4 linked regions of the Diceros bicornis minor genome follow. The protein of the gene in region 4 interacts with the protein of the main gene of each other region in a pairwise test. Links are inferred from orthologs where the notes say so. Each region holds a gene or a part of one and is shown on either strand. Other genes may lie near its edges. The genes, in order: RAB25, RAB11B, BNIP2 and MYO5B.

Region 1 (7,318 bases), on a different chromosome or scaffold from region 4:
CTGGAGTGGGGCGGCGCGCGGCTCTCCAAGGGAGGGGTAGGGTAGGATCTCCGGGAAGGGAGGAGGTGGCAGAAGGAGCAGGGCAACAGGCCGGGATGGCTCCTCTCGAAAAGAGAAACCGACGTGGTGGGTGCTCGGGGCATATCCCAGGACACCCTCAGCACAGACCCTTGCTTTCTGGAAGCGCCGGTGGCGGGAGTTGGGACGGAAATTCAGGCATTTTACTCCGATCTTGAGCATGTCACTATCCCTCCCCGTCCCTTGCCAGGCTGCTGAATAACGAGGGATCTCTTCTGGCCTACTCCGGTTACGGGGATACGGACGCCCGGGTTACCGCAGCCATCGCCAGTAACATCTGGGCCGCCTATGACCGGAACGGGAACCAAGCGTTTAATGAAGACAATCTCAAATTCATTCTCATGGACTGCATGGTATGGAGAGAGGAGCTACTTCCTCTGTCCTCGAAGGGGATTCCCAGGGGGCGACCCGGACCCCATCCTGGATGGTTGGAGGGGCAGGGACAGGATCTCTGGAAGATTACTAAGAGTTGGTCTGCAGCAGCATTTATAATAGGCAGGACCCTATGCATCAAGTGGTGGTGAGGGAGGAGCCCTGGACCCGAGGTCTGACTGGGGTTCTGGTCTCAGCCAGCCACTAACATTTGTGGAACCTTGGGTAAGTCACTTAACCTCTCTGAGCTTCCTTAGCACACCTCTAAGGGGGAAACAATACACACAGGGTTGTTGTGAAGATCAAATGAAAGAGTGGATATAAACCGTAGGATGATGTACAGACACAAAGTGTTGTCATCCCAGATTCACAGACTCAGGGAAGAATGGCACAGTCTCCAGACACTAGTCCAGTCCCTTCAGTTTACAGAGAAAGCAGATGAAGTCCAGAAAGGGGAAGTGGCCATTAGGCTGTGAACTTCTTGGAAACAGAAACTGTCTCACTCACCTTTGTATCTGTTCAGTCAACAAATTTTTAGGTCCCTGCAATGTTCTCGGGACTTGGAGAAAAGTAGCAAACAGGACAGACAAAAACTATTTATAATGAAACTTAGTCTTAGACATGCTTTAAAATAAGTAAAATATGTATGTTTTGTAAAATAAGTGTGTAAATATGTTTTACAAAATAAGTAAAATATGTATATAAGTTAAAAAAGTAGTATGTTAGGTATTGAAAATGCTGTGGAGAAAAATAAAGCAAGGAAGTGAGATAGAGGCGGATGTGTGTCAGGGACAATCTCATTGCAAAGGTGACATTTCATCACAGATCTGAAGGAAGTTGGCAAGCCATGTGGCTGTCTGGAGGAAGAACGTTTCTGACAGAGAGAACAGCAGATGCAAAGGCCTTGAGGCAGAATGCTGCCTGGTCAAGGATCAACAAGGTTGATGTGGCTGGAGTGGCATCAGAGTGGCATGGGGAGGTTAGTAGGAGCAGAGTCCAGACAGGCAGAGAGTGTAGCACCTGGTTCCCAGCACTCGCTGGATACCTAGTGAAAATTTGCTGAACCAAATTAAAAAGGCCTCAACAGGGGCCGGCCCCGTGGCTTAGTGGTTAAGTGCGCGTGCTCCGCTGCTGGCGGCTGGGGTTCGGATCCGAGCGCGCACCGAGGCACTGCTTGTTAAGCCATGCTGTGGCGGTGTCCCATATAAAGTGGAGGAAGACAGGCACAGATGTTAGCCCAGGGCCAGTCTTCCTCAGCAAAAAGAGGAGGATTGACAGATGTTAGCTCAGGGCTGATCTTCCTCACACAAAAAAATAATAAATAAATAAATAAAAATAAAAAGGCCCCAAGAATGAACTCTCCAGAAAGGAATTCCACTGTAACTCAGCTGCCTACCTCATCCTTACCCCCTGTGCAACCAAGGATGTCATTTCAGTTCAACTGATGACTCCTCCTGGGTGCCTAGCTTAGAGCTGGTGCTTTAGGGCAATAGCTTTCAAACGCTTTGATCACAACTGGGCCAAAGGAAGTACATTTTAAGTCAGAGCCCAGTGCACATATATACCCACTAAAACAAAAGTTTTGCGAAAAAGGTCTCGGCTTACAACATGCAATGCACTTCATTTCTCTTCTTTTTTCTTTTAATGCTGATCACCTTCTTAATTGATCTCCTAACCCTGGGGTCAGACCTGCAGTTTGAAAAGCATTACCATGGGAAAAGAGGAGAAGCATAAGTTGGGTTACTGCTCTCAAGCCCCTTACATTGTTTTGGGGTGAACCCATAATAATAATCTCACCCATTTGGACAGCCCTTTGCAGATACAAGACTCCTTCATGTGTACTGGCGCCCTCACCAGCTGGGGTGAGGTTGGGGTTACAGAAAGAGAAACGGAGTCCCTGGGAGATTGAGTTTCCCAGCGTAACTTGGTTAGTAGGTGCCTGTGCTGAGGCTGGAATTGGGGTTCAGGACCCCATGTCCAGGGCTGTGGCCAAAGCCCCACTGCTGAAGCTCCTGCGTGTGCCCAGGGCATGGGAGGAAGATAGAGTCTCTCTCAAGAGGAGCCCTTGGGGAAAGAGGGGGCTAAGGTGCCAAGCCGAACATCACATCCCATGATATTGTCCCCACCAGGAGGGCCGTGTAGCCATTACCCGAGTGGCCAACCTTCTGCTGTGTATGTATGCCAAGGAGACTGTTGGCTTCGGAATGCTCAAGGCCAAGGTGTGTACATGCCCATCCCTCTGCAGTCCTGGGCCCAGCCTTTGTGCTCCATCACTGTCTGTTCCCATCCCCACCACCTTCCTGCAGGCCACCTGTCACCCAATCCATGTCTGGTGTGGGCTAACTCCCAGGAGCAAGCGGGGGCTGGGAGGGGGTGCTCAGCATTGGGTGTAGACCTGGATTTGGGATCCCTCTAGGGGCAGGCCATGTGTGGGACTGATTCTGCTCTCCCTTCTGCAGGCGCAGGCCTTGGTGCAGTACCTGGAGGATCCCCTCACCCAAGTAGCGGCATCATAGTGGGCGTTGGTGGAAGCTGGAGTCAGAAAAGAGAGATGACCACTGGGAGGGGCAGGGCCCCCTGGGGAAACCTTCCTGGACTGTGGAGGGAGGGTGGGACTTTGTTTTTTCCAAGAATAAACTTCAGCTCCTGTCTTGTGTCCTGGCTGCTTTCTTGAGTGGGAGCAATCAGAGGAGATAGAAAGGAGCAGGGATTTCTTATAGGATTCTTCATGTGCTGCAAGGATGGATTTCCACCCATTCCTTCACCAGGACCTCCAACAACCCAATGGTTTTGGGCAGTGATGCCTCACTCCCTTGGCCTCTCCCGTGGTGTGACCTCCCCTGGTCCCTGCCACTCAGAGCAGAATCTCACCCACCTGATGGCAAAACCTTGGGCGTGAGCTCAGAGGTGCAAGGGGCTGGTGGAAGGTCATGTTGAACAAAGAGAATATAGGGCCCTGGGAATTAAGTGTCCTTCATCCTGATTTTGAGGGGTGGGGGAGCTTTTCTACTCTTGGGGTTGGGAGAGTGTCCCCTAGCTGCCTACAAGGGGCCACTCCTTTCCTCTTCTGCCAGGCATTCACATGCTCACATAGACCTTCTCCAGATCTTGCAGCCCTTTGCAGACAGGATGGCTTTGTTGTGAGGCTTCAGGTCCTGGAGAGGGAGTAAAAGAAACCCAGAAGACCTCTCAGAGGGCTTCCCCTCCAGATTCTGCCCCTCCACTCAGACTCTTCACCCCATCTGGCTGTTTCTGCCCCAGGTCTCCCCATACCCAGTGTCCTTAAGAGCAGGTCTGGATGGGGAGCTACCCAGTGCTGTAGGAAGGGACCCATCCCAGAGAAGAGGTAGGTTGCAAATTCCAGCTCCACCCAGGGTGAGACATACTGCCCGTCCCAGGCCCTGGGCTGTCAGGGAGGGGTAGAAGTTGCTGTATGGGAGATGCAGCTCCCAGACCTCTGCACGGCAGGGTGACTGGCATCCCATCAGCCCCAGCCCCTTGCCCCAACAGCCCTTGCCATGGTGCCCCCAGATAACCCCTGCAAGGGCTCTGAAGGAAAAGCAGGCGGTCAAGTAGATTTTTGCTCCCTGAGAGGCTATTTCTCACTCGCTGGTGGCTGGGCCCCCTGGCCACAGGTCTCAGGAGCCTAGACATGCGTACTCAGTCCTCAGCTGGCTCTCTGAAGGCCCTGTCCTTGTCCCAGCTTCCCCCACTGTCACCCTCTGGAGCCTGCTCACCTGCTTGCAGGAGCCCAGGCTGAGAGCACACACCCAACCTGTCTAACCTGTCTGACGTCATCGTCTCTCCACCCACCTGGGCCCCAGGTCTCCAGTCGCCCTGCTCTTCCTGTTCTCAGCTTCCGTCCTCTCAGCTTCCTTGCAGCACCCCCACCTGCCAGAGCTGAGCCTCCCTAGGCTCTGCCTAGCCTCGAGTCGGCCCCCAATCCCTCTGGCTTGCAGAAGTTTCTTTACCTCCAATGAGAGGAGGGGCGGATCCAGGTCTCTTGAGAACTGAGGGTTGAGGGCGTTGAACTAACGCATAGACCCGTCATCTCTGCCCTTGAAGACACTTGTACCCTCCATGCGGAGCCAAGATGGGGAACGGAAACGAGGAAGATTATAACTTTGTCTTCAAGGGTGAGTTGGGGTCCATAAAGAGAGAGGAAGCCTGAGAGAGACCCAGAAAGAGACCAACAAACCAGAGACGGCCCCTTCCTGTTTTTTTATCTCTTAGCAGGACCCCCCAGGGCTCATCATTCCTTTGGATAAGAAAGAAAGCTGCAGGAGGTGAGGGAGGGTCTGATTACAGGGGCGAAAGTCCTGGAGCTGCTAGAATGCTCTACTGTTGTAAATAATGATGGTGATCACTCCTTAATAGTGTCGAGTTAGGCTCCTCTGCCCCATGCCTAAAGGAAGCCCAAATCCCTAGGAATAGTCAGCCACTGCAGCACAAGAGATGGAGATCAGACTTCAGAGAGGACTTCCCTCCTGAGAAAAGGGGAAACAAGCAGACTTAAAAGAAAGAAAGTCATCTTCCTGGGAAGATGTATAGGAAAGGAGAGATCTATTTCATCATAGGGCTGAGTGAAGACATAGGGAAGCTGTAACGATTTGGGAGCAGGGTCTAATAGGATCCAGAGGACTCCTAGGGCCATGGTCTTGTCTGCTGTCCCTTGGCAGACCCCTTGGGCCCAAATACCAGGCCCTGGGTTCCACTTGGCTGTCCCTGGAAGTGTGCGTGTTTCTTTCCTGCTCCTTTATCTCAGCCCCTGTGCTTGGCCTCTCTATTGTTCCCCACTCCCCATGCCACCCCCACCTCCACGCCTCCTTCTGGGCAGGGTGGATTGGCGGAGCTATGATTCCCTGTCCTGCCACCCCACCCCACGCCTCTCCCAGCCTCAGCCCCACCCTCTCTCTGGCTGGGACTCTCAGGCATCTGGGGTTGGGGAACCTGTAGTCCCGGCATCCTTCCCAGGAAGGGGAGGCCAGGGAAGGGCTAGCAATAGTCTGGGGCAGTACGACCACTAGTAACTACTGTTTATTGAGCCCTTAGCATGTGCCAGCCGCTAGCTCATTAATCACCATAACAACCCCCAAAAGTTATCTTCCATTTTGAAAGCATAATGGTCATTATAGCATCACGGTCAGGAGCCAGACTGAGTTCAGATCTCAGCTCTGCCGCTTACTCAGTACTGCAGGTTGGGGTCTCCAAAGCAGACACTGACAAGAAGTTTGGGGTATAAGATGTTTATTATGGATCAACACCAGTGAAAGGAAGGGGGAGGAAACAGGACTGGGCAGGAAGCAAACTGTAGCGCAGAATCACAAAGCCTCGGCCAAGGGCAGCGAGCTCTGTGATCCCCTTACCTTGCTCCGGCACTGGAGGTGGGGGGCTGCCCGGGAAAGGCATGACCTCAGGTACAGCTGCTCTCTGCACCAGGAGCACATGCTGAAGGAGCTGACAGCTGGAGGCTGTCTGCCAACTGCACTGTCTGCAGCTGGGGGCCAGTCCTTCCTTGAAGCCGGATCCAGGCAGCACACCTCTGCGTTTACCACGCTAGCTGGCTAGCTGTGTTACCTTGTGCAAGTCATTTAACCCCCTCCGTTCCCTTGTCTGTAAAAATGGGATGAAAATGATAACGGTACTTGCTTCATGCCATTGTTGTGAGGATTAAATGAATTAATATGGGTAAAGCCTTTAGGATGGTGCCTGGCACGTAGTTGGCACTCAATCAGTGTTAACAATTAGTATCTGCATTTTACAGACGAGGATGAGACAGAGTAAGTAGCTTACAAAAGGTCACAAAGTCAGTATTCAAACCCAAGTCTGTCTGACTCCAAAATCCTTGCCCTGAGAAGCTGTTGGGCCTGAGGGTAGGGCTAGGAGCCCACCCACCAGAGGGATGAGATGGGGATGAAGTTCCCAGTAGGGGAGAGGCAGGAGCACACACACACACACCCATAAGCCTCCCAGCTCTTTCCTGTCCTACACAAATAAGGAATTTTTAAAGTTGGAGGGGGCCTTTATAGATTTTATACACAAGGAAACTGAGACCCAGAAAAGGTGAGCCACTTGTTCAAGGTCACATGGCTAGTCAGAGGCTGAGTGGGGATCAGAACCCAGAATATGTGGCTCCCAGGGCACCAGCCTGCTTTTCCAGAACCACTCTGGGCGGCCTCCTCTAACCCTGGATGCTCAGCTCAGTGTCGGTGCAATTTATGGGTCATACTTAATCAGCCCCCTACACTCTCCCCCAGCCCCCAGCTCACCCACGGTAAGGCTGGGCCCTGGATGCTGCCCACCAGCCCAAAGGCTCTTCACGGCCCCTCTGATGGATCCTTGTCCCTGAAAACCTGAAAGTAAAAGCTCTGGCCTACCAACAGCAATCCCAGCAGTAACAGTTTTGCACACTCACTATATCCTGGGCAATATCTCATTTACTTTTTGCAACAACTCATAAGATAGTCACTATTGTTATTCCCATTTCTCATATGAAGAAGAAAGTCAGAGAAGTTAAATAACTTGCTAAAGGACACACGGCTGGTCCAACACCCAGCCCTATGGTCTTAATATGCAAGACTGCCCCTCCTTGGGGACAACTGGATCCTAACTTCTTACACACCGCCTGCATACCTTCCCCCCACCCACACACGTGTCACTTGCCAACTTTCTCCTCACTCACACTTCTATTCGCGCCTCTGCTCCCATGCAAACACACACACCAAACCCCCCACTTGTCCTCCCAGCTCATATACATAGAAACGTGCTCAATGTTCTCATACTCCCTAGTCCAGAAATGTGCACCCTCCCCCCCAGACCTCCTGCCATCTCTCTCCGCATTCACACACTCTGCTAACCTCTCCACACA
Region 2 (8,002 bases), on a different chromosome or scaffold from region 4:
CAGCTGTAAAGCAGCTCACGCCTAGGCCCCGGGACTTACGCAGTTTTTAAAAATGTAAACATCTCTCCACTGCACATGGAGAACTAGTATCCCCTGCCATAAATAAGTTAGTGAAACTAAAGCCAATGAAAATAAAACAATGCCAGTGCTTTAAAATTCCAGCTAGAAAACTGATCTACGGTGAAAAAAAAAAAACAAACCAAAAAACCCTGAATAGTGGCAGCCCCTGGAAGGGTGGGATGGGAATTGACTGGGAAGGGACATGAGGCAACTTTCCCTCCACAGAGGTGAGTTACTCTGGCATATGCCTTTGTCTTGGTGAATGTACATTTCAGATCTGTGCATATTATTACATGTAAATTTCACCTTCCAAACAAAAACTAAGAAAACAGCCATAAACGATCCTTGAACTCTAGGTAATGATATGCATGCTGAAGTGTTTAGAGGTGAAGTGGACTAACGTCCTTGTTTTATTCGTAATTTTTTTCCAGCTTTATTGAGGTATAATTGCCATATAACATTGTGTAAGTTTAAGGCGTATAAAGTGTTGATTTGATACACTTATATATTGCAAAATGATGACCGCCATAGGGAGCTAACACCTCCATCACGTCGCAGAATTACCATTTCTTTTTCATAGTGAGAACATTGAAGATCTACTCTCTTAGCAACCCTCAAGTATACGATACAGTATTGTTAACTATAATCACCATGCTGTGCATGAGACGCCCCAAATCTTCGACTTTCTTTGAAATGCATCAAAAAATAGGATGATAGATGGGTGGATAGAGATGGATATGCAATAAAGCAAAATATTAATAGTGGACTCTAGGTGTTGCGGATATGAGTATTCTCTACAATTCTTTCCATTTTTCTAAAAGTCCCCAAAATTTCACAACAAAATGCGGGGAAGAAAATTCTAACTAGATCTTGTGGCTTTCTGAAGGCTCTGCTTCTGAGCTCTGTTTAAAGAGGGAGATAAGCATTAGAAAATTGTTCAAGAGATATGAGCAAAAGAGAGTGAGCCTTTCTGTTTGAGGATAATAAAGGATTTCAAGAATTGCAAAAAGGTAAGACTTTCTCAGCATGTGGTTCAACGTTATTTAATGCACTGCCCAGAATAATCATCCATATCATATGGCCTGGAATAATGTGATGCTTTGTCTCCGGGACACATGTTTGGGAAAAACAGCATCTGTCCAAGCCCTGAGCCCCAACTGCTGTTTTCATAGGAGAACCTATCTTTCCAGTATTTCTTGTAAGTGTTCCTTGGAGAGGTCGTGGGGGCTTCTTGCACTAGAGGAAAACCTCCATGCTTTTCCTGTTCCGTGACTCTTCCTGGAAGGTGCTGGGGACACAATGGCTTCCCTGGGGCCCTGGCTGAGTGTAGGTGATGAACTTCTTGGCACTGGGGACAGGCCACTAAAGTTCTGTGGCCTCAGTTCCTGCATCTGCAAAATGGGGATGGTTCTGCTACCCTGCCCTCCCACCCCCACCCCCCACCCCCCACTTCTGTTCTGCTGGTGCTGCAAGGATTTCCTGGAGCATTAAGTGAAAAGCGCTCAGAACAGTGTCTCACTCATGGTGAGCTCACAATATAAACATTAGCCGTCCTTACTAATACTGTTATGATGAGCCATGCTCGGGGTGGGGGCGGGGAGCATGACCCAGACAGGAGAAAAGACTTCACGGTGGATGTGGCTTTTGAGTCAGTTTTCAAAGGAAGAAAATTTTACAAAGATGAGGAGGGAGGGTGGTATTCCAGAAAGAGGTCACTGTGAGAGCCAAAGCCTAGTGGCCTCGGTGGGAAATGCAGCTCCTGTCTGGGGAGCCAGCGCACAGCCCCACCTAGCTGCAGCGAGGGGCAGAAGGCTGGGGAGGGGAACGGCAGGGCGGGTGGGGAAGGGATCTGTGCTGGAATGTGCAGGGCCTCAAGGCAACTGCCCAGGAGTTTGCTGACAAAGGCTGGGAGGCTCCTCCCTGGTCTGGATTTCAGCCTTGCCTTTTCGCCTAATCTCTTTTCTGGCCCCTGGACCCCGCTCTCCAGCCACCATGACCTTCTGGCTGTTCAGACACATCAAGCTCTTTCTCTCACTTGCTTTTGTGTCTGCCTGAAATGCTGTTCCTAATACCTCTTCCCCCTCCTGCGGACTCAGTGCAAATGCCACCTCCTCCAGGATGCCTTCCCTGGCTTCCTAGTGAAGGGGAGGAAGACTATCCTTTACCCACTCTGGGTCCTTTCTGGCTGGGCTACAAATTAAATTGACATGAGACCGCATAGCAGGAGAAAATCCAACAAAGCTTTATAACGTACACATGGGAGAAACCAGGGAAACTGAGTTTCTCAACAAATGGCGGAGGTTTTCACCTTAAATAGCATATTCAGGTAGACAAAGGAGGATGTTGGGGGGGTGGGGAGTCAGCTATGGGAGATTACCAGAAAGCACAATAAACAAGAGTATGCACTGATAAGAGTTTCTAGAGATAAGGTCATCCCCACTTCTTCCTGGTACAGAGAGGGAGATATCTTTACAAATGGACATTTCCCTTCAACAGAACTTTGATAAGAATGGGCTTAGCAAGGACCCTCCCACTCTATCCATACACAGATTTAAATTCATTTAGGCAGTTAGTGGGAAAGGGGTGAGGTCAAAGTTTCTTTCAGAGAAAATAATCAAGGTGAAGAGACATATTTTGAGGGGGCCAATTCCGATCTCCCACTAGCTAAGGAGCTAAGGAGAATAACCCAGGTTATTCTCTTCATTGCATGCCTCCCATTCTGCAATTATCCTGCACATGTTTTTTACTTGCTTCTTATCTGACTGCTCCCAAGAGACTCTCAGCTCCATGAGGGCTGGCACTTTGCATCCCCAGCACCTAGAGTGCTGCCTGACCTCATAGATGCTCAGTAAATGGACGTCCTAAAGGAAGGACTAAAAGATTTTTAAACAGGGGAGCGAGACAACCTGACATGTTTTAAAAACCCCCCTCTGACTGCTGTGGGAAGAACAGACTGTGAAGTGAGGGCAGAGCAGGGGGATCTGGGAGCGGGAAATGCACAGGTCCAGGTGTCACTGACTACGGACCTCGAGAAAGTCAAAGGTGGGTTTGGAAGCAATTAACTGGTTTTTTTTTTTTTTTTTTGCTGAGGAAGATTAGCCCTGGGCCAACATCCGTGCCCATCTTCCTCTACTTTATATGGGACACTGCCACAGCATGGCTTGACAAGCAGTGCGTCGTCAGTGCACGCCTGGGATCTGAACCTGTGAACCTGGCCTCGAAGTGGAGCGCCCACGCTTACCGGCTGCGCCACCAGGATGACCCAGCAATTAACTGTTTTTCCAAGTTGTTTCTTTTCCTTTTGTATATTAAGGAGATGTAACCACCAGCCATCCTGAAACTGACCAAGGGAGGCACTCAAGGGAGATATAACCACCAGCCATGCTGAAACTGACCAAGCCTCACCACAAGAGCTACGCCCACGACCTTTGCCTTATTTTTAATGCAAAAATCTCTCCAGGTGGAGCTTAGGCCTCATGATGTGGAAGCATGTTCTCCAACTGAGCCTGTGCAATCGAATACCTGCCTCTCCCTTTTGAATATTCATTCCCCAACCAAATAAAAGTTCCTGCTTTCCTTGGTTCCCAGACGCCCTGACTTTGGAAATGATTCTTCATGGTCTCCTATTTGCTGCAAATACACTTTACTTTGTGAGACAACTTCCACTGGTGTAGTTTTATTTAACTTACCAGGAGGGGAGGCCACTTGGTTCGGTGTCACAGGGAGTGATGATGGGCGCCAGGATCAGGGTGGTGGCAGTGGAGGGAGTGAGACGTGGTCAGAAATTTGGGAGGGAGAAGAGACACAATAAGGGGAAGGGGCAGAGGGTGGTAAACAATGAGAAAGAGAGAGGAGCCCCTGACTTGTGGCTTTGATGATGGAGGGGGTGGGGGATGGAGACACAGGAGGAAGAGTGGATATGCGGAAAGAGGACAAACAAGTGTCGGGATGCCTGATGGACATCCCAGCGATGAAGTCCAGGAGGCAGTAATAATAATAATTATTGTAACTAGCACATGAGCTCCATGCCTAAGTTGTTCATCACTGGTCAGATATTTATTGAGCACAGGGACACAGCAGTGGTTGTGGCACACACAGTCCCTGCCCTCATGGGGCTGATGTTCTGTTGATGGAGACAAACGAAACAGATTAATGGGTCAAGAAAGAAACACATACTTTAATGTCAGGTAGCGATAAGTCCTGGGGGAGAGGGTGGAATAAAACAGGGTAAGTGGACAGACGAGGGGAGGAGACCATGTTGGAGAGTCTGACGCCCAGTAAGGATTTATAAATATTTGTTAATCAAAGACTTAAAGACAGAATGTGGACGGCTGATTTAGTGTGCGTTTAGGGACAAGATCTAGTTATCTTCCAAAGATTCCACGAGGTTTCTTCCCTGTTATACAGATGAAGGAAACTGATGCAGAACGGTATCGCAATGAGACACCAATACAGTGATGGAAAGTGCAACCGAGAGAGGAGAGGTGACCTCTAATGGAAAAGACCTCGGGGAGAGGCCCCCCAGACAGGGTCATTTATGGGGCGGGGAGGCAGAGCAGCGTGCACAGACCTATGACGTCATCGGGACGTTACATAGCGTAACATCACCTGGACGTAGCGCTATTTCCCTCCCCGGACAGGTCCTCAGGCAGTCGGGTACGGTCTGAATTAAGCCTCTCATTGGCTACTCGCTCCGTCAATCCGTTTCATTCTTCCCTTCTTCCGTCCCGCCTTCCTAAACCCGCCTTTGATAGGCTGGCGCAGCTGTCACTTCAGAAAGGGCCGCATTCCTTCCGCCTTTCTCCAGGAGACCAGGAGCGCGGAGGGCGGATCCTAGCGGCGCCCACCCCTGGGACTCTGCTTCCACCTCTGATTGGCTGCCCTGGGTGCCGGTCGCTACGCCACCCGCCGCAGATTAGCCATCCGGCCGCCGCTCTGCGCGGCGCCGGTTCCGCCCCCGTCGGGTGTTTGTGGTGGGGCTGCGGAGTCGCCGATCCCGCCGGAAGCACCAGGACAATGGGGACCCGGGACGACGAGTACGACTACCTATTCAAAGGTGTGGCCGGTGGGGCACAGACGGGCGAGGGCGCGGCGGCGAGGCGGCGGGCAGGCGGGCCGGCGGGCCGAGGTTGCGTTCCAGGCCGCTGGGCCCAGGCCGGAGCCCGGGGCTTGGGGCCCGGCGGGTCAGGCAGCCGGGAAGGCCGGGGTGGGCCAGGCTCAGTCAGCTTCGGGCCGGGGTGCGCGACCGTGCGGAGCGGGCGGCCCAGGGAGCCCTGGGGGCCCTGGATGAGCCGGGGCGGAGCTGGGGCACAGAGGGGGTGGGGCCCGGAGCGGTGGGAGAGGCCGTTAGGGGCGGGGCCTCAGGAGGGGCGGGGCCGCCCCAGCATTCGGCGGGCCGGGCTGGGTGGAAAGCTCCCTTCGTGGTGGGGGCGGGGCCTTGGAGGCGGGGGCTAGGCGGTAGTGGGCGTGTCCAAGAACTTGCTGGGGCCGGGCGCTTCACGGGGTGGGAGGGGCCAGACCTGATTGGTGGCAGCGCGTCTGGGGGCGGGGCCTTGGAAGGGCGAGGCGGACAATGGGGGTTGAAATGTGTGGGGGGGAGCCTGGATTGGGGTGCGGACCCCGAATTGCGTGGAGGGGCACGTGGGGGGACTGTGTGTGCTGGACCCGGGCCCCGTGTTTAACAGCAACAATTATATCTCTTAATTATTAGAACATTAACAGCACTGTCCAAATACCTGCGTTTTTCTAAGCACTTTATACTCATGTAGTCATTGAAATCCTCAAAACCATGTGAGGTCGGTATTATCCAGCCTTTCTCTTTATGGACCTGGAAACTGGCTCAGAGAGACGAGTGTTAAGTGTTGGAGCAGGACTTGAGCCTAGATCAGCTGTGGGCTTTACCACTTAGGAAGTGTGGCGGGGGGCGGGGGGGGGTGGCGCGGCTTGCAGCCAGGATCTGGGGCCGAGGTTGTCAGACTGCCTCCCCCAACACGTGCGCGCTGATGGCTGGGCCTCACCAACCCTGCCCCGGGGGTAGAGGGCTCTAAGAGCCTCAAGTAAGGCTGAGGCAGATCAGGCAGCCATTGCCCGCCTGGGGCCAGTGGGGAGCTCATTCACCCTGCCCCTCAAGCTGGGAGATTCCCTCCTGATTGGGGGGTCACTGGCTTCACAGTGCCTCTGTGCCAAGCTGGGCTTCGGTCAGGGCCTGTGCTGGGCTCCCTGGCTGACAGTGGCCACCCTTGAGGCTAACCCCTGGGCCCACGTGGGGCACCTTGGCCCTGCTGCCTGCGGGTCTGTCTCCCATGCCAGCTGTTGGCATCTTCCCCTCGATGGGGGAGCCTGGCCAGCCCTGAGAGTGTGGTCTGTGTCTGTCACTGCCCATTGTGTCTGTAGTATTATCTAGCATGTGGGGGCCTGGGGACCTTGGGGACCTGGACATTGGGGTGGAATGCTCCGTACCTGGGATATCCATGTGGCGAAAGGCTTCTGGGCAGAGGGGGTGCCCATGCAAAGGCCCAGGGTCGTCACACAGCTCCATGGGCTTGGCGAGATGCGTGCAGGCTGCTATGTCGCTGGCCAGTGAGGCTGTGTGGTCGGCAGGCATCAGGCCAAAGCCCTGGTGCTGCCGGCTGAGCCTTGGGGTCTCACCTAAGAGCGAGGGAAGCTCTATCAGGGCTCTGGGGACTGGTGACAGGTGGACCGGACTCCAGTCCTGCTGCACCTGGTGCCTGTCTTTGCTCTGCCCGCCCTGAGACATCTGCTCCCCAGGTCCGGGCTGGGCACTCACCCGGATGTGGCACTGCCAGGGCAGAAGGCATTCCCAGTGGCCACCTCCAGGTTTCTGTGGTCATTCCCCGCTTGTTATTTTCAACTGTTTGCTGTTATAAATAACCCAGGTCCAAGCGTTTGCACAAGTCATCTTTTGCTCTTTGGGTTATTTCCTTGAAGTTTGTTCCCAGAAGTACAGTTACTGGGTCAGGGGCAATGGAGCGGTCGTGTGCTTCCCGGGATGCATCTCCAGGGTCCGCTTCCTGGAAACACTGATCTGGCTCCTGTGGCAACTGGTACGTGGTGGGGGCGGGGGGTGCCTGCGCCACTGCCCTCCCCCTCTGGCCTCCTTTTTCTGAGTCGAGCAGGTGCCTTCCAGTCGGGGGAGCCCTTCAGGAGCGGAGAGGGCAGCGATCCTCTGCCCCCTGCCCTGTGCGCAGCCTCCCTCAGGCTTCAGTCACTTTCCCCTGGCCCTGCCCTGGGCACAGAGGGGCCACCCCTCTCCCTTGGGACACTGGCTGCCCCCTGTCCTGCCCTCCTTCAGTGCCTTGTGTTATTTGGCAGCCACATCATATCTTGGATCCCCTGACCTGCTCGGCTAAGGCCAACAGACCCCCGTTGGTGCTGTGTGCTGTTTATTTTCCTCCTTGCACATTCTGCCCTCCCCTAGGAATGAGGTTGTTTATTTGTAGCTAATTATAGATCCTTACATTTATCCTGCTAACATTTTATAACCTGGGACCATCTTCCCAGCCTGCCCATTGATCCCCAGGGGTCGCCCCTGACCTCTCCTCTGATGGACTGGCTGTGGGGTCCACAGTGGGTGCAGCTGTGTCCCCAGGGGCCACCGAGGCCTTCCCGGAGCCCCCAGGCACTCACCTGGCCTGTGAGGACGTGGCTGGTGTGGGAAGCTGCCGTGGTGGCCCAGGGCCCTCTCCTCTGGATTGGCCCCTGCCCCATCTAGGAGTCCTTCTGGGGAGGTGCCAGGAGCGAGTGGCAGCTGGCTCCCGGGAAACAGGCCAGCCCCAGTGCTCGGCCCCTCTGCTGGGTGCTCCTGAGGCAGCCTCCCCTCTCTAGCCCGGGCAGGGCCCCCCACCCAGCCCCCCTGGTCCAGGATCTGAGCACACCATCTTCCCCATTGCCAGTGGAGGCTCTGCCTGTGCCTTGACTTTGG
Region 3 (7,605 bases), on a different chromosome or scaffold from region 4:
TGTTAGAATGGTTATTATCAAAAAGACAAGAAATAAGTGTTGGCAAAGATGTGGAGAAAAGGGACCCCTTGTGCACTGTTGTTGGGGAATGTAAATTGGTGGAGCCACTATGGAAAACAGTAGGGAGGGTCCTCAAAAAATTAAAAATAGAACTACCATATGAATTCCACTTCTGGGTATTTATCTGAAGGAAGTGAAATCACTATCTCAAAAAGATATATGCACCCCCAAGTTCACTGCAGCATTATTTACAACAGCAACTTAAGTACCCTTTGATGCGTGAATGGCTAAAGAAAATGTGATACACACACGCACACACACAAATATTATTTGGCCATAAAAAAGAATGATATCTTGCCATTTGTGACAACATGGATGGACCTTAACAGCATTATGCTAAGTGAACTAAGTCAAGACAGAGAAAAGCAAATACCATATGATCTCTCTTACATGTGGAATCAAAAATAAAAAAAAAGAAAGCTGATAGATAGAGAACAGATTGGTAGTTGCCAAAGGCAGAGGGTGGGTGAAATGGATGAAGGGGGTCAAAAGGTACAAACTTCCACTTGAAAAATAAGTCCTGGGGATGTAATGTACAGCATGGTGACTATAGTTAAGAATACTATATTACATATTTGAAAGTTGCTAACAGAGTAAACTTTAAAAGTTCTCATCACAAAATATTTATAACTATGTGTGATGGATGTTAACTAGACTTATTGTGGTGATCACTTCACAATATATACAAATATCGAATTATGTGGTATACCTGAAACTAATGTTATGTCAATTATACCTCAATTAAAAAAAAAGAATGAAATGAGATACTTCATCAGGAATGTTAACACAAAATTCAAGAAAAATTACAATGGTGCCAACTTTTCTTAAAATTGTGAAAATAAAGCAAAGGATAATTATGTCTCCTATAAAAGATACATTTATTAAATTATCAGTATGCAGAACATGCCGGAGATGCTCTGAGATCTTTAAAAAGATTAAAGTCTAATAACTGATTTCTAACACCTTGCTGTAGAGTTATAAATATTAGTTGTAATATAAAATTATAATTTTGGAATATTACTATCATCATATTATACTAGTATTCTGTTTTATAGGATGTAAGCTTAAAAAGACTTTTTTTTTTTTTGAGGAAGATTGGCCCTGCACTAACATCTGTTGCCAATCTTCCTTTTTTTTTTCCCTCCCCAAAGCCCTAGTACATAGCTGCGTATCACAGTTGTAGAGGTGTGGCTCTTCTATGCGGGACGCTGCCTCAGCATGGCTTGATGAGCAGTGAGCAGGTCCCCGCCCGGAATCCGAACCCGCAAACCCCGGGCCGCTGAAGTGGAAAGCGTGAACCCAACCGCTATGCCACCGGGCGGGCCCCAAAAAGACATCTTTCAATCCACTGTCAGCCAAGGTTAATTTATCGCATCTGGCTACATACACGTCCTTTCTTAGAAGCCTTCCTCCTGCTGCTCCATCTACCAGCACTACTCCAGATGGAATGAACAGAACCACGTTCCCAAAGAGTGCTTTTCACATTTACTAGCCACTTGCACATTCATCATCTCGTATGTTCCAACCATCATGTGAGATATAAAGTTGTGGTGTTATTATCCCCATTTTATCTTATATATGAGGCAAATGACACTACATTCTGGTTCCTAGATTAGACCTAGACTGTTTCTAATACAGCACACTCTCCAGTTCACTGGCAACTTTATACAGAATAAGCTTGTAATGTCAGATTTGGTTACACTCAGCTTCAGAGGTCCTGTACCGCCTAAAGATTACAGTAGCACTGACTTATGATGATCTAGTTCAAGTTCCATGTTTGCAGAAGTGGACCTGTCATACTTCCTGTCTAAGCCCAACAATATTAGGCTGCAGTAGAAGAGATTACGAAGACTATGAATAGTTTCGAGAAAATGTAAAATGACAAGAAGGGAGAAGGATGTGCAAGATCATCAGAAAAATAGTCTTCAGGGTAACTAAATCGGGTAACTTCAGTTATAATTTTGAGGAAACATGTCCATCGACAAATCGCAAAATTCTTATAAAATTTTAAAAGAAGAACGCGTTTAATTAAAAAAAATAAGTAATTTACCTTTAAGAGAAATAGAGGTCCTAATCAGAAAAGACAAGGATAAAGAAAGCACTAAAATGCAATCACACACTTCATTCAACTAACTATATGGAAGGCGCTATGACTACCTGGATGAACACGAGAAACGCTGTGCTCTCAAAGAGCTCCCGGACCAGGCAGGCAAGGGAAGTTTAAAGCGACTAACAGACCCAAATTAACGTCTGGTTTAACATGAGTTGATCTAGTGGATCTCCAGTGGCATCATATGTGTCCAGCAAACCCAAACCATTTCAGCAAAGGGCCGTGTCTGAATCCACCCAGGAACTCGGCTTTTCACGTAGGAAGGTCTGTTAAAGCCCTGATTACAAATGCTGCTTCCGTGTCTGTTCCCCGAGGGGGACGCGGCACATCAGACGTCCGTTTCTTTGTTCTGCACCAGGACCGACGCTGGTCATAAACACGGGACCAGTGTGGCCCCGTCACCGCACCCAGACCGGAGTGTGGGACGGAGGGCCGACAGGGGGGCAGGTTCCATCCCGAGCACAACCACCACAAACGGAAAAGGGGTGGGGGGCAACGACGGCAACTGCAAACCGGAGCCAAGCCAAGGGCGGGGGCCCCAGCTGGGCGGGGATCCGGGAAGCGCCTCCCGGGCAGGTTCCACGGCGCCCCCTACAGCGGATAACCCTCTGGGCTTCCTCTCTCGGGCCGGCCGGGGGCACGCGCCCCTCAGACGGCCGCCCCCAGGGCCGTTCGCAGCCCAGACCCGCCGTGCCCAGTCGTCCCGGGCCGCACTCACCCCGCAGGAAGCCTTGGCCCCCTCGTCTTCTTCGCCCCTCCAGGCCGGCGACGTGGGGCTGACGGCCAGGTCGCAGAAGGTAGCGCCGAGCGGAGCCCGCTCCCCTCGGACGGCAGCAGAGACCCGGGCCCAGTTTCCTGGCCGCAGCGGCAGCGGCTGACCCGGATGCAGAGAGCAGCCCCGACGGAAATGACAGCATCGCGACCTTCTCCGGGCGCGGCGGCCGGCGGAGGCGTGGCGTCTTCTTGAAGCCCCGGAGTCCCTCCCCTCGTCCCCTCAGCTGGCGCAGTCTATCGCTCGCGCATGCGCCCACGCGGCCGCCCACACGCTCCCGCCGGGCGGGCGGGGCGCGGAGACGCCTTGGCGGCGCCTCTGAGGCTGCAGGTGCTTCCTTTCTCGCTGGGAGTGGATCCTCAAGTCTCAAAGAGCCATTTTTGTATTCTTTATGTTAGCTTTATTGATCATTACGATAATTGTATGTTATGGATGAAAATAGGGGAGGAAAAATATCTGAGGCCACATTTTGGGGAATTAAACCTCAGAAGAGTTTGGTAAAATGCTCGAGGGTGAACAGCTTTACAACAGTGCTTCTCAAACTATATATATACTATATACGATACAAACTATATACAATAAGTAGGGATTGATCAATTTATTGTTTTTTTAAATTTCCAATTAGTTGTGGGCCATGCTTTGGTCAGAAAAAATTAAAATATCAGACATATTTTATCGTTAGAGTCAGCAGCCATAAAATTACCTGTTAAATTGGTATAAAGGTTTCTAAACGCTTCTCTCAATTTCTGTACTTGTCTCGTGGACCAGTAACGAACAGGTCTCTGAAACGCCCGGGTCTGTGGATCATACTTTTGAGTAGCAAGACTGCTCTACAGCTTCAAGGAAATAAGATTAGTTTGGAGAACATCATAATCCCTCTCAGAAATCCCACTAAATCCCTACAAAGGTGTAGCAGTCAACTATTTGGGTAAGGCATTAGGGAATGGTGGGGCTTGAGGGGAACTGAAAAGCTTAAAAATTTAAATCATTGACCCAAAAATGCAGCTCCCAGGTTTACATAGCTTTAGCAACATTTACTCACTATTGGTGGGGGGTTAAACTCTCTATATCTCATCTATAAAATGGGAAAGATTAATACCTACTTGATAGGTTTTTTTGAGATAAAGTCCTATGTGTTAGAACAGTGCTTTGTGTAGTGTAATCGTATATAAGTGTTAGGTATTATTATTTTCCCCCATTCTGGAAATTTTTTAAAAAGCTAGCAGAGAAAACAACCAAAGCTGATCAACAGAGCCTTAGCTAAACAACTTCTTGGGCTATGCTCCTGTAAGCAATTTCATCTTTAGTTACGGATTTTTTGTAGTTCCGTATTTTGCTTATTTCAGTCTTGCAATGAGTAGTATTCCCCACAGGGTGGCAGAAAATCATTTGAAGTCATATGCAGTTATGTGATTTTTGTAATCTTTAGTTTCTTTTTAATTTCAGTAACTTTATTGTTTAGTAAGCTTGGTCAGTGTTTGCTTTGGTTTTGAGTAAGCCATACTAGTATTTGTCTTTTTATCCCCATCTCATGAATTATCCATACTTACTGTGAAACGTTAGAAACTACAGATAAGGTAAAAAAGATAATCACACTTAATACATTTATGTATATCTTTGCAGATTTTTGTATACATATAACTGTATAAATAGCATATGTATGTTTTTATAAAAGTGAATTAATGTACCTAATAGTTTATAATCTAATTTTTTTCTTTTCATTTAAAAGTATATTATGAACTCCTTTTCAGGCCAATAAGTATATTTTAACACCATAATTTTTATTATGGATAATTTATGTACTAACTACTTATTGAATATTTAGGTGGCTCCATTTTTTTGTTGTTAAAAACAACACTTCATAGAGTGTCCAAAAAGTCAGAAACATAGGACTAACTTGTTTTCAAACAATATACTAATTACATTTTAAAATAATATGCTCAGTATATTTTTTAGGTGAAATACCTCTAATCAGTGGGTCTAATTGTTAATCTGAAAAAAAGTATAAAAAGACACTATTTTCCCTGTGTTTCCAGACTTTTGGGATAATCTTAAGTGTATTTTTACCAATACTAGTTTGTTCTATATGCCTCCTTGAGTAGGCAGATATTTAGACTCTTAAAAATTGGAAAATAATTGAGAGGGAAAGAAAGTGTGGCTTCTAGACGCTAAGTAGAAGGTATCATTTGGAAAGTGATACGTTAGCTCAGAGCCACCATCAACCTGTTCCTTTGTGGTTTCTGGCTTTGGTGTTATATTTAAATAGGCCCTCCTCACCCTAAAATTATACAATATATAGTTGTTAATATTTTCATCTTAAAAAATATGAACATTAAATCTAACTGGAATTTTGTATATATGCTTATGATATGAAGTAGGGAATCTGATTTTTACTAAACTGACAAAATAGTGTGCCTAACATTATTTATTGAATAATCCATTAATTCTTGAACTCAACTAGGACTCAAATGAATGTTTACCTTCAAAGTTGTCATCCTAGGTTACCCACTTAGTTCAAGTATCCATTCACAAACCTTTTGACAAACTGTTATATCCATTCACAAACCATCATTGGACAAACCCTTTATTGAACAATATTGTGAGTCAATACTATTGGGCCCTGAGGGTACAGATAAAAATGACACAGTGTCTGCCTTCAGGGAGCTCACAGACTAGTCAGATAAGGGGCAAGCAAAGACAGTAAGCAATCTGGTGGATTTACTTCCAAGGTGCAGCTAAATAGAAGGGAGCTAAACAGATTGGGGGGTGGGAGGTGAGGTCGATAAAGGAAGACTCTCTGAAGGAGGTGATCTCAAGCTTAGTAATAAGAGGAAGATCTTCCAAGCAGAGGGAATGGTATATGCAAATGCACAGAGGCATCTAGGAACTGCACATTGTTCATCGTGACTGGAGCACAAGCAGTGGGAACGTGAGTGAGGTGAATGGCCAGTAACAAAAATAAGTAGTCAAAGGCCAGATTAAAAAGGGATTTTTTTCATGCTAAGAATTTATTCAGAGCCAATATAATGCACGACATGGAAAAGCAATCAATTATTACTTTATAGTTGTGCTCCAAAAGAAGGGATTGAAACATGTCCTGCACCATGGCAGCATCAATATGATAAGTCCTAAAAGAACAACTTTGAGAAGGACGACACTCATTTGAATATATGCTTTAGTATGTGTGTTAAAATTATTCATGTTACTTTGTCATACTTTGTACATCAAAATAAAAGCACTCAGCCAAATAGACTTGAAGAGATGCTGAGTCTGCACCTGCTCCCCATTCCGCCCTCCAACCTTGGACCAGAGGTAAGATGAGAGATGATAAAGAAGACATTTGAGACAACGCTATGAAAATGTTTGTGTAAATTCAAATTTCAGAAGGCATAATGTACATTAGACTCTTGAATGCTGTTGCACTCTCCACTGCATAATTTTAGAGACAGATTGTTATTCTTACTTATGAGCATATAAATTCAGTGATGTTTGGCAGCTCACTCATAATTTTTGAAAAAATATGAAGTGTCTTTTACATGGGCTGAAGATGTCTCTGCTGGTTGAGCTTGAGGGTAAAACCGGATACAATTATATATTCATTTAATTATTCATAACTTGAGTCTGAAATGAATGTGTATATATTTTTCACTTATTCGCTTTAGAAAATTCTAAACTAAACCCAGCAGCAGTTTTGTCTTTGGCATGGTGACAAGTGTCTTTTCTACAATGAACCAGTAAAAGAAATTGTTCCAGAGAGAATTTGTGTTCCCTATTTCAGAAAATCCAGTTGGACTGCACATATATATTACACATCACCTTTGCGTGGTGCTTCCACATTCCACAGACTACACAGAGGGAAGCAGCAGCACACGTGTCTAGGAAATATTTCCATATGCAGAGTTAGGTTATGGCCATTCAAGGGGAAAACTAGGCTTATTTGCTGGAGAGTTTTAGTCAACAGGACTCTAAGAATTCAATTCATTCAGGGAAGTAGCTAGGTTATGGGTTGAAGTTGTGTGAGAACAAGAGTTCAGATCCTGACACAGTCCTGTTTTTTGAGGGAGGGAGGATACACATTTTATTCAACAGAAGTTAGGAAAGACTAGTACTGTCTTTGATTACTCATCAAAACTAATAGTGTGAACAAATCTTAGAGTCCACATTCAAGTCCTCTGTGAAGATGTTTCTGCAATGTCATAAAAAAATGGCAAATATGAGTTTAAAACTGAGGGTATACATTTTATAATGCAAAAGCATAAAATTTGGCAAAATCATAGCAACAAATAGATTGGAGATCATGGTTGTCATTTGGAAAGAAGATGATGGACAGAGGTCCCTCTACCCTGAATAGGGGTCATTCCAAAAAAAATCACTGCACTTATTAAACTCTTGCAGAAGTAGCAGACATAGTATCACCATACTTGGTTTATTGCTAAAATCAAGATTAATTTTGAAGAGGGAAGTAGATTTCACTCTTTCCTCTTTCCTTTAAGATGTGAAATGTTAATAGCAGTGTGACCATCTATATTTAGAAATATACAAATAAGTAATAGCTTCCAACTTGAAAAAAATCAGAGCTTGATTGATTGATGATGATGATGATGATGATGATTTTTACCGGTAATAATGCTTTTTTAATTCTTTCTGGGCTGGGTAAATAAAA
Region 4 (7,854 bases):
CCACTTATAAATGCTGCGGGCATAATGGATAATTATTTCCATCATGCATCATACATTAAAGTACGTGCCTGAATCCAGTGTTCATCACGTTAGAAAAGCCCACTAGCAGGTTAAAAATAAAAGGGAACACTGGCTATTCTGATAACACACTAAAATGAACAAATCATCTCCCAAGAAACGAAGCGAGTCTGAGTGACAGGCATTTCTCTGCATAATTTATGATTCATATGCATACGTACTGAGAATCCAGCCTAGCAAGTGGGGTGACAATGGTTAGGAAACAATGCAAACGATTCTCATAGTAAAGCGTTAACCGTGTTTAACTCTGCCAAAGAGAACAACAACAACATACATACACACACACACACACACACACACAGAGCTCAAAACAAATCTGGAAGCTATTGCATCGGCCACAGAAAATCTGAATTTCAGATTCAAAAACCTAAAAACAATTAAGAACTAGAAACTTATTAACAGAGCAAGGTGCAGTCCTCCAGCCCTAGGGAGAAATTCTAATACTGTTTTTGGATTAATTATGCCAAAACCCTCACACCAATGAAGCTACTTTTTTTTTTTTTTTTTTTGGTCTTGTGCATCCTTCCAAGGCCTTCCTCTGGTGAAAGTTTTGTCCCTATCTCTGTAAGTCCGGGAAAAGTACACTGAAACTTCTTTAGCTCGGACTCCCACTAATTCATCATTCCTAGTAATTAAGATGCAATGTACTCATTTCTAACTCAAAATCAAATTGAGTGTTTTCCCCTGAAAGAGTTCTGTCTTTAAAAGCAATCCAATATTAATTCTCGTTATTCAAAGTCAGGGCTTCAAAAATTAAGAGCTTATTCAATTGCCCAGGATTGTCACATAATACAACAATTAATTATGGTCTGATAAAGGGCTTTATGACACGTTGCAGGTGTAATCAGTTGAGTCACTCATCGCACTTGGGAGTACGAGTAGCATTTTCGTGCACTTCAATGTTACGAAGCTTCAGTGCTTTAAACTCTCCAGCACATGTTTTTCCCTGCCTCGCTGGTTTCCAGCCTCCGGGAGAAGTTCCTGCCTGATAAGCCGCTTCAGGAAGACACCTGAAAGCTGGAGCTCTGAGGGCTCTTCCCACGACTCCCAAGGGTAAACGGGGTGCGGTGCTTTTCCAAAGCCAGGAGTGCCAGAGATTTCACCCCCTGGCCGGCACCTACACCCTTTCCTCTCCTCTCCTCTCCCAGAATCTGTAGTCCATCCGTCACAGCTGCAGGGGACCTTAGCGGGGGCGGAGTGTGTGTCAGATGCAGCTGCGACCCCGCCCCCAGCCAGGTTACAGCCTCCACGGCCACCTCATGTCAGCCCATCTAAGCCTTGGTCCCCTCCAGGAGGAAGGAGGGATTAGAAAATTCCTCTAGGGAAAAGGAGTGGCCAGCCCGCCCAGCCGAAGGGCTCGACCACCCGCGGGAGCAGCTTCGAGCAATCGCCAGGTGAGCATGCGGAAGTAGCTCTTCCTCCCCCGCCCAGACCTATCGGCCCAGGCATAACACACCCACACCCACTCGCGTGCACGCATCACACACACACACACACACACACACACACACACACACACACACACCTCTGCACAGAGACGCGCGTACAAGGCACCGTCAAACCTGTCCCAGCCACAGAGAAGACGACCAGGCAGATGAGGAGTCGAGACATCCGAAACTTTTTTTTTTTTTTTAAGGGGAGGGGGAGGGGGCTTAAAGGCCCCTGCCCCCCTCATCCCTGGAGCCAAGGTGAAACCCGAGGCGGCCCCGGCGGCTGCAGCGCGACCGCAGGCGCTCGGGGAAGCGGCGGCTGGTCCCTAACTTGAACCACAGCGACTGCCGCGGAAGCGGGGCGTCTCCGCCCGGCCGCACCTGTTCCCGACTCTGAGGACGGAGCCTCGCACATCCATTCTGACCTTGAGGGCACCCCGAAAATCCACACTCCACCCCGGGTCAGCATTACTCCGATGCCCTCCCTACAACAGATGAAGTCCCCGGCAGGTACCCACCCAGAGGGGCCGCCTCAAAACGCCCATCGCCGGCAAATGATGAATGCGCTTCCCTGGGATCTCCAGAGCTCCCCGGAGCGCCCCTCGCTTTCCCCAGTGCTTACCTCCCCCCTCACACCAGGTTGGGTCCCCTTTTCTCTCCCCCCCTCAAGTGCAAGAACACCCTCCCCAAGTTCAGCGTTCCCCCTCGTCGGCACGCAGGAGGAAAGGAAGCCTCAGAGGGGCGCCCTCGCAAGCTCACGCCGCAGAGCACCTGGGGTGGGGTCCAGCAGCGAATGGAGGGGGCGGCGGCGCGCAGGGCGCCACCGCGGGGGGCTGTCCCCACGCACCCGGCTCGGAGGTGGCGGGGACACCCCCGCGGTTCTGGGTCAGTGCGGGGCGCTCCTGGAACAACCAAACTTTCTCCGCCACCCGAAGTTCGGGGCGTGAGGAGGCGGCGAGGGGGAGTCGGAGCAGCACCTGCCGGCGCCGCAGGAGAAGGCGCCCCCGAGGGCCGCCGTGGCCCGAGCGCGCCGCGCGCAGCCCGCACTCACCTGGCTGTAGAGCTCGCTGACCGACATGACCCCGCGGGCCGGGCCTGGCCCGGGGCGCCGTGCCTGGCGGGCGGCACTCGCTCGTGCGCCGGGGGGCGGCGGGTCCGGGCTCCTCGCTGCCCCGGCGGCTCTCAGTCCCCGGCCGGCCCGCCTGGCGCCATCTTCCTGGGCTGCCCGGGAGTTTCTGTGTTTCTTGTCCTTTCCCCCCGACCTGCCCCGCCGGCTTCCTGGAGGCGCCGGGGCCGGCTCGCTCTCTGCCGGCGCGACCTTTACTCCCGCCGCGGCGGCGTAGCTGCGGCCGGGCCGGAGTTGCGGGCGGGGTGGGGGTGGGGGGGGGGGGAGGAGGCCGCGCGGCGCCGCTCCCCGCGCAGGTGTGGGAGGAGGTGCGGGAGCCAGGGAGGGGGAGAGGGCGGCGCTCGTCGGAGCTGGCAGCCGGGGCGCCGTCGCCGCCGCCTTTGAGCCCTGCGGGGCCGGGCTGGACGCTCCCTCCCGCGCCCCCGCCGCAGCGGGGTCCTTGGGGCCGGGGGCGGGGCCGGGCGAGGAGCCGGTGCCGGCCGCCCCCTGCTGGACGCCGGGCGCGCGCTGGGACAGGTGCGCCCCGGGGGCCCACACCTGCCGCGCCGCGCTCTGCCTGCACGCGGTCTGTGCCCCTGGGAGGCTGGGCAGGGATGTAGTGGAGACAAGAGAAAAAAAGGAGGGAAAGTAAGCCGGGGGGTAGGGGGGATAAAAAGATGCCTGTGACTGAAAGGCTCCCATATATTTTCCTCTGGATTTTACGTGGCTGCGTTCAATATTTTCATGATTAAAATTCAGTTATATCGTAGATTGTTATTAAGGTGATTTGGGTATACCAAAGATTGTCTCCGCCAAACTGAGCTCCCTGCGCTGAAATCCTGATCAGAAAGGTGGGAGTTGTAACTCGTCACTTCGTTTGCCCGGTTCACCCACAGCTTCCAGCTAGGCTCCCAGCTACCTCCATCAGACTTTCATGCTTTGCCGGGGGTCTCACATTTTCTCCCCTCTCTCCCACATGCACACTCTCAGTCGCTCTGCCGCTCCCTGCCACGTTTATTTTTGTCCCCTCTGCTAGTGCCCCTTGGCTGTCTTCAGCAACTACAGTCCCTCTTCTACTTCCAGCAAAAAGTAGAAATTTCAGCCAAAAAGGAAAATAGCTGACAGGAGTTGGTGGAAGGAGAGGAGGGGACACGGCTTTGGTTTTCCGAAGGTGGCTTTTGTACGTGAATGAGGAATGGCATCTGAGGGTGGTCCTCAGCCAGTGTGTCTGTCTATACCTGCTGGAGGGATTGTCCTGGAGCCCCATTCCCTGGAAGGTGATTCTTAAAACTCATCCCATTTAAGACCTTCCCACCTGGAATGCAAGATCCCCATTTAATTCACCGTGGGACCCCTCTCAACTGTGCCTCCTCAATGAGGTTCACCTGGGGAGCTTTAACTGACCCAAGGAAGGGGCCCCACCCTCAAGAATTCTGGATGATTGGTGAAGGGTGGAAATTATCTGAATTTTTTAAGCTCCTCCATAGTCTAAAGGATTGTACTTCTGGGTTGACAAATGCAGTAACCAAAGCTTGGGCTACTCTCCTTGGATCTGAAATGGACTTCATCATGTCACTGTCAAGAGCAGAAAGGAAATGGTTCCATCATTTCTCACTCAAAAATCTCTGCATCCATTCCTTCCCTATATTCTAGTATTTCTCTAAGCATGGCCCTCAGGCTATCAGCATCACCTGGGAACTTATTAGATATACAAATTATCAGTCATCACCGCAGACTTACTGAATCCGCAACGCTGGGGGAGGGGCCCAGCACTCAATGTTTTCATACCTCGGTAGAGAATTCTCTGCTCTCCAGCCAAGAAAGCCCACTTGCTATGGTGCCATCCACATCTGTGCTCCAGATCCCCTTTGCTTCTCCGCCACCACGCTCCATCAGTGGTCCCATCTCTCTGCCAGCAACTCGCTCTCTCTCAACTGGCTCTTGACTTCTCTGTCCTCCTTTCCTGCTAAACTTCTTGAGGTGTAGCTGGTACCAGCTGGCTCCACTTGCTCACACCCAGTTCCTCCCAGGTGGTTCTAGTGACAGCCAAGGTTAAGAGTTGGTGCTTTAATTCCTTCCTAAGTGGTTCCAGCTCAGCCCCGTTCTATTGAAATCGCCTTCTCCCTCTGGGGCGCTAATTGATTCTCCCTGCTATGTTAAATCATCTCCTCCCTTGGCATCTATCATTTTCCTCCTCTTATTTTCCCCAGCCTCTCTAACCACACCTTCTCTGTGACCTTTTCTAGCTCTGTTTCCTCTTCCTGGTTCCTGAATAAAACTGTGGCCCATTTCCCACACCTCATCTTTCTTCTCATCCACACCCCCTATTTTACCTCTTACCAATATGTTAACTCTGAAATCTAATTCTAACCCTCGTTTAGACCCACCTTTCCACCTGCCAGATAGGCAATGCTAGCAATCCCACTAGGACCTTGAACCAACCTGAAACTCATTTCTTTCCACCCTTCCTCCCAACCCCCAACCTGGTTCCAACTTTCTGGCTTCCATCATACCTGGCACAAATTAAAGGCTCAATTCATGCTGACTGAACTGAATCACATCCCTAAGGAGAATATTACTCTTGGCCAGAGCCTTGTGCATTTCTAATCCCACAATCAGATAAGGTCTTTCCCTCCTTTGAATAATAATAAAGACGTTTTAAAACTTACTTTGTGCCAGGAAACAAGAGCTTTGCTTCTGTGATCTTGTTTGAGCCTCAGAGCAACCCTATAAAATAGGTTTGAATAATAATTCTATTTCATAGATAAGCAAAGTGAGTCTGGGTAAGGAACATTCTAGATCAGAGAGCTGGTATTCAACTAAACTCTCATTCTAGAGTCTAAGCAGTTGCTTTTTACACCAGTGGTTCTTGAACGTTAGTGTGTATCAGGACTAAGGGGATACAGGGGATGCTAACTCAGTTGGTCCACGTGTGGTCCACGAGTCTGCATGTGTAATAAGTAGCCAGGTGGTGTAGGGGTCACACTTGAAGAAACATTGCTCTGTGCCCCATGGCTTCTCAAAGTAAGAGAAGACCTCCATTGGGACTACCTTGGTCTCCCTCCTGACAGGTGGGGGTTTCCATCACACACAAGTGGGGAAGAACTTTGAACTTCCGAAGCATTCACTTAACCTCTCTTAAGGAGCTCCCCTTACTGTACCCGGCATTACATGTATACCAATATCCTTCTCTCCTCCTCACCCCTAGGCTGGAAGGCAAGAACCACACCTGACCTGTATTTGTATCCTCTGCACTTCCCATCATGCCTTGCACAAAGGACTCAGGAAACAGTAGGTGAATTGTGTGTGGGCTGGACCTAGTGATTTGCTTCTAACAAATAAAATACAGCAAAGGTGATGGGCTGTCACTTCCATGATTAGGTTGTGAAAGACTGTGACTTTTATCTTGCTGGAAATCTCTCTGGCTCTTCTTATATGCTTGTTCTGATGAAGCAAGCTGTCATATTGTGAGCTGCCCTATAGAGAAACCCATGTGGAAGGAACTAAGGGTGGCCCTCGAGAAACTGAATTCTCCCAATAGCTAAGTGGGTGAACTCGGAAGCAGATGTTTCTCTAGTTAAGCCTTCAGACTCGACTTGAAGACCACAGCCCCAGCTGACACTTTGATTGCAGCCACATAATACACCCTGAAGCAGAGAATCCAGAAAAGCTGTGTCTAAATTAAAGAAACTGTGAGATGATAAAGTCTGTGACCCACAGAAACTGTGAGGTAATAAATGTGTGTTGTTTGAAACCACTCAGTTTGGGGGTAATTTGTTAGGCAGCAATAGGTGACTAATACAATCACACACAAAAAGGGCTCTGTGTGACTGGCTTCCTGGTAAGAACTTCATCCTAGCAATTTCTCTCCTCCCCTTCTTGGAAGGTTGGTTTCCCGTATGCCCCTACATGCTAAGGCATCATCGTCAAATGGGGTTTGTGGTTCCCTGGTGTGTGCCAAGACTCTTCAAGGAGTTGTTATTCCATAGATTGTTTTAAGGGAATCAGTTTCCAGATCCTAAATCTCCTTATTCATTCCTTCTAAACACTGATTTGCCAAAAAACAGCCCTGCAGTTAGGGGGGCTCATTCTCAGATCTCCCTCTGGAGCCTCCAGGACACCAAACAAAAGGACAGATAGAAACTTCAGTGTTGAGAAGGTGAGTGACTCTGATGAAGGAGCCGCACTCTGTGCAGGTTGGTGGTTTCCAATTCTGTTAACAAAATTGAAGGAGGACCTGATCCATTTGTCAGCTGACAGGTTATTTAAAATAATCTTTTCGTGGATCACTATGTGCTTTTGGCAAAGGAATTCAAATTGAGGGACGCTGTCCTAACAAAACTTCCTTTCCCATCTATTTGTTTATGTAAACAAATATAACACTTTTATCCATAACAAAAATAGGAATAGATTTTTAAAGTTGTATAAGACCATCTGTGATGATAATTCAATTCAGAATACTTGACCACTGGAAAATTTTTAAATAATTTATATACATATTTTTGTTATAGATAATGTTATAGGGTGGTTGTCAGAAGAGTTTCCAGTATAAAAAATGTAGGCTAAAATTCTGTAGGGAAAGTGGAATGGAATTTCAGGCTCAAGAAAAAAATGCATGTTTTAAAGAACTTGTGTATTTTTTTAAACGGGCAATGGAGGGTATCAAATTGCTATGGCAGTTAGAGTCCATTGGGTTCATTTAAAAGAGTGATGTAACCGTTTTATTTTAAGCTGACAATATGTACAATATACCCAAATTACATCTTTTTCAATTATTTAAACTTACGAAAACTTTTAGTTATTAACCTAAAAATGTGTGGAGACATACATGGTTTTTCAAAATTACTTTAAAGAGTTTGAGAGCAAAAAAGTCTGAAGCCCATGGAGCAGAGGGCAGCCACATCTATGACCTCCAAAATTAGGTCTTCATTAGGAATTCCGGATTGAGAATGGTATTAACAGCCTTGATGCTCTGGAACACTTTCACCTTTGTAGCTTACTCAGTGGGCATTTCTGAGTCTCTCTCTAGGCAATGTGGATTTGTTTTTCACCTGTTCCAAGTTAGCACCCAGGCTATGAGGGTTTAAGCAGTGACTTCTGTTACTATTTGTATGGGGGAGACCTTGACACAGACCTCAGCCTAGATTTCGCAAGGGCACTCCTCCCCGGGGTAGAGATGGCTGGTGATCAGGGTAGAAGCTCTAACACGTGAAGATGGCAGAAGATAATTGGGAGAAGGTT

What was found.
Region 1: the proteins of MYO5B (region 4) and RAB25 interact in binary tests that used the Homo sapiens proteins (3 or more experiments, as listed by UniProt). The link is inferred for Diceros bicornis minor from reciprocal best matches to the Homo sapiens genes MYO5B and RAB25.
Region 2: the proteins of MYO5B (region 4) and RAB11B interact in binary tests that used the Homo sapiens proteins (3 or more experiments, as listed by UniProt). The link is inferred for Diceros bicornis minor from reciprocal best matches to the Homo sapiens genes MYO5B and RAB11B.
Region 3: the proteins of MYO5B (region 4) and BNIP2 interact in binary tests that used the Homo sapiens proteins (3 or more experiments, as listed by UniProt). The two-hybrid records come from large-scale screens. The link is inferred for Diceros bicornis minor from reciprocal best matches to the Homo sapiens genes MYO5B and BNIP2.

Annotation. Positions count from the first base shown.
Region 1 is NC_080743.1:59,706,980-59,714,297, forward strand, and holds the start of RAB25 (ras-related protein Rab-25), read left to right. Parts: upstream 1-4,301; 5' UTR 4,302-4,543; coding exon 4,544-4,586; intron 4,587-7,318. Other genes in the region: ragulator complex protein LAMTOR2, read left to right, coding at 269-431, 2,580-2,669, 2,910-2,966. UniProt on the Homo sapiens protein: The small GTPases Rab are key regulators of intracellular membrane trafficking, from the formation of transport vesicles to their fusion with membranes.
Region 2 is NW_026691615.1:317,951-325,952, reverse strand, and holds the start of RAB11B (ras-related protein Rab-11B), read left to right. Parts: upstream 1-5,002; 5' UTR 5,003-5,076; coding exon 5,077-5,116; intron 5,117-8,002. UniProt on the Homo sapiens protein: The small GTPases Rab are key regulators of intracellular membrane trafficking, from the formation of transport vesicles to their fusion with membranes.
Region 3 is NC_080744.1:54,624,856-54,632,460, forward strand, and holds the start of BNIP2 (BCL2/adenovirus E1B 19 kDa protein-interacting protein 2), read right to left. Parts: upstream 3,002-7,605; 5' UTR 2,889-3,001; intron 1-2,888.
Region 4 is NC_080755.1:42,689,802-42,697,655, forward strand, and holds the start of MYO5B (unconventional myosin-Vb), read right to left. Parts: upstream 3,005-7,854; 5' UTR 2,587-3,004; coding exon 2,560-2,586; intron 1-2,559. UniProt on the Homo sapiens protein: May be involved in vesicular trafficking via its association with the CART complex. The CART complex is necessary for efficient transferrin receptor recycling but not for EGFR degradation.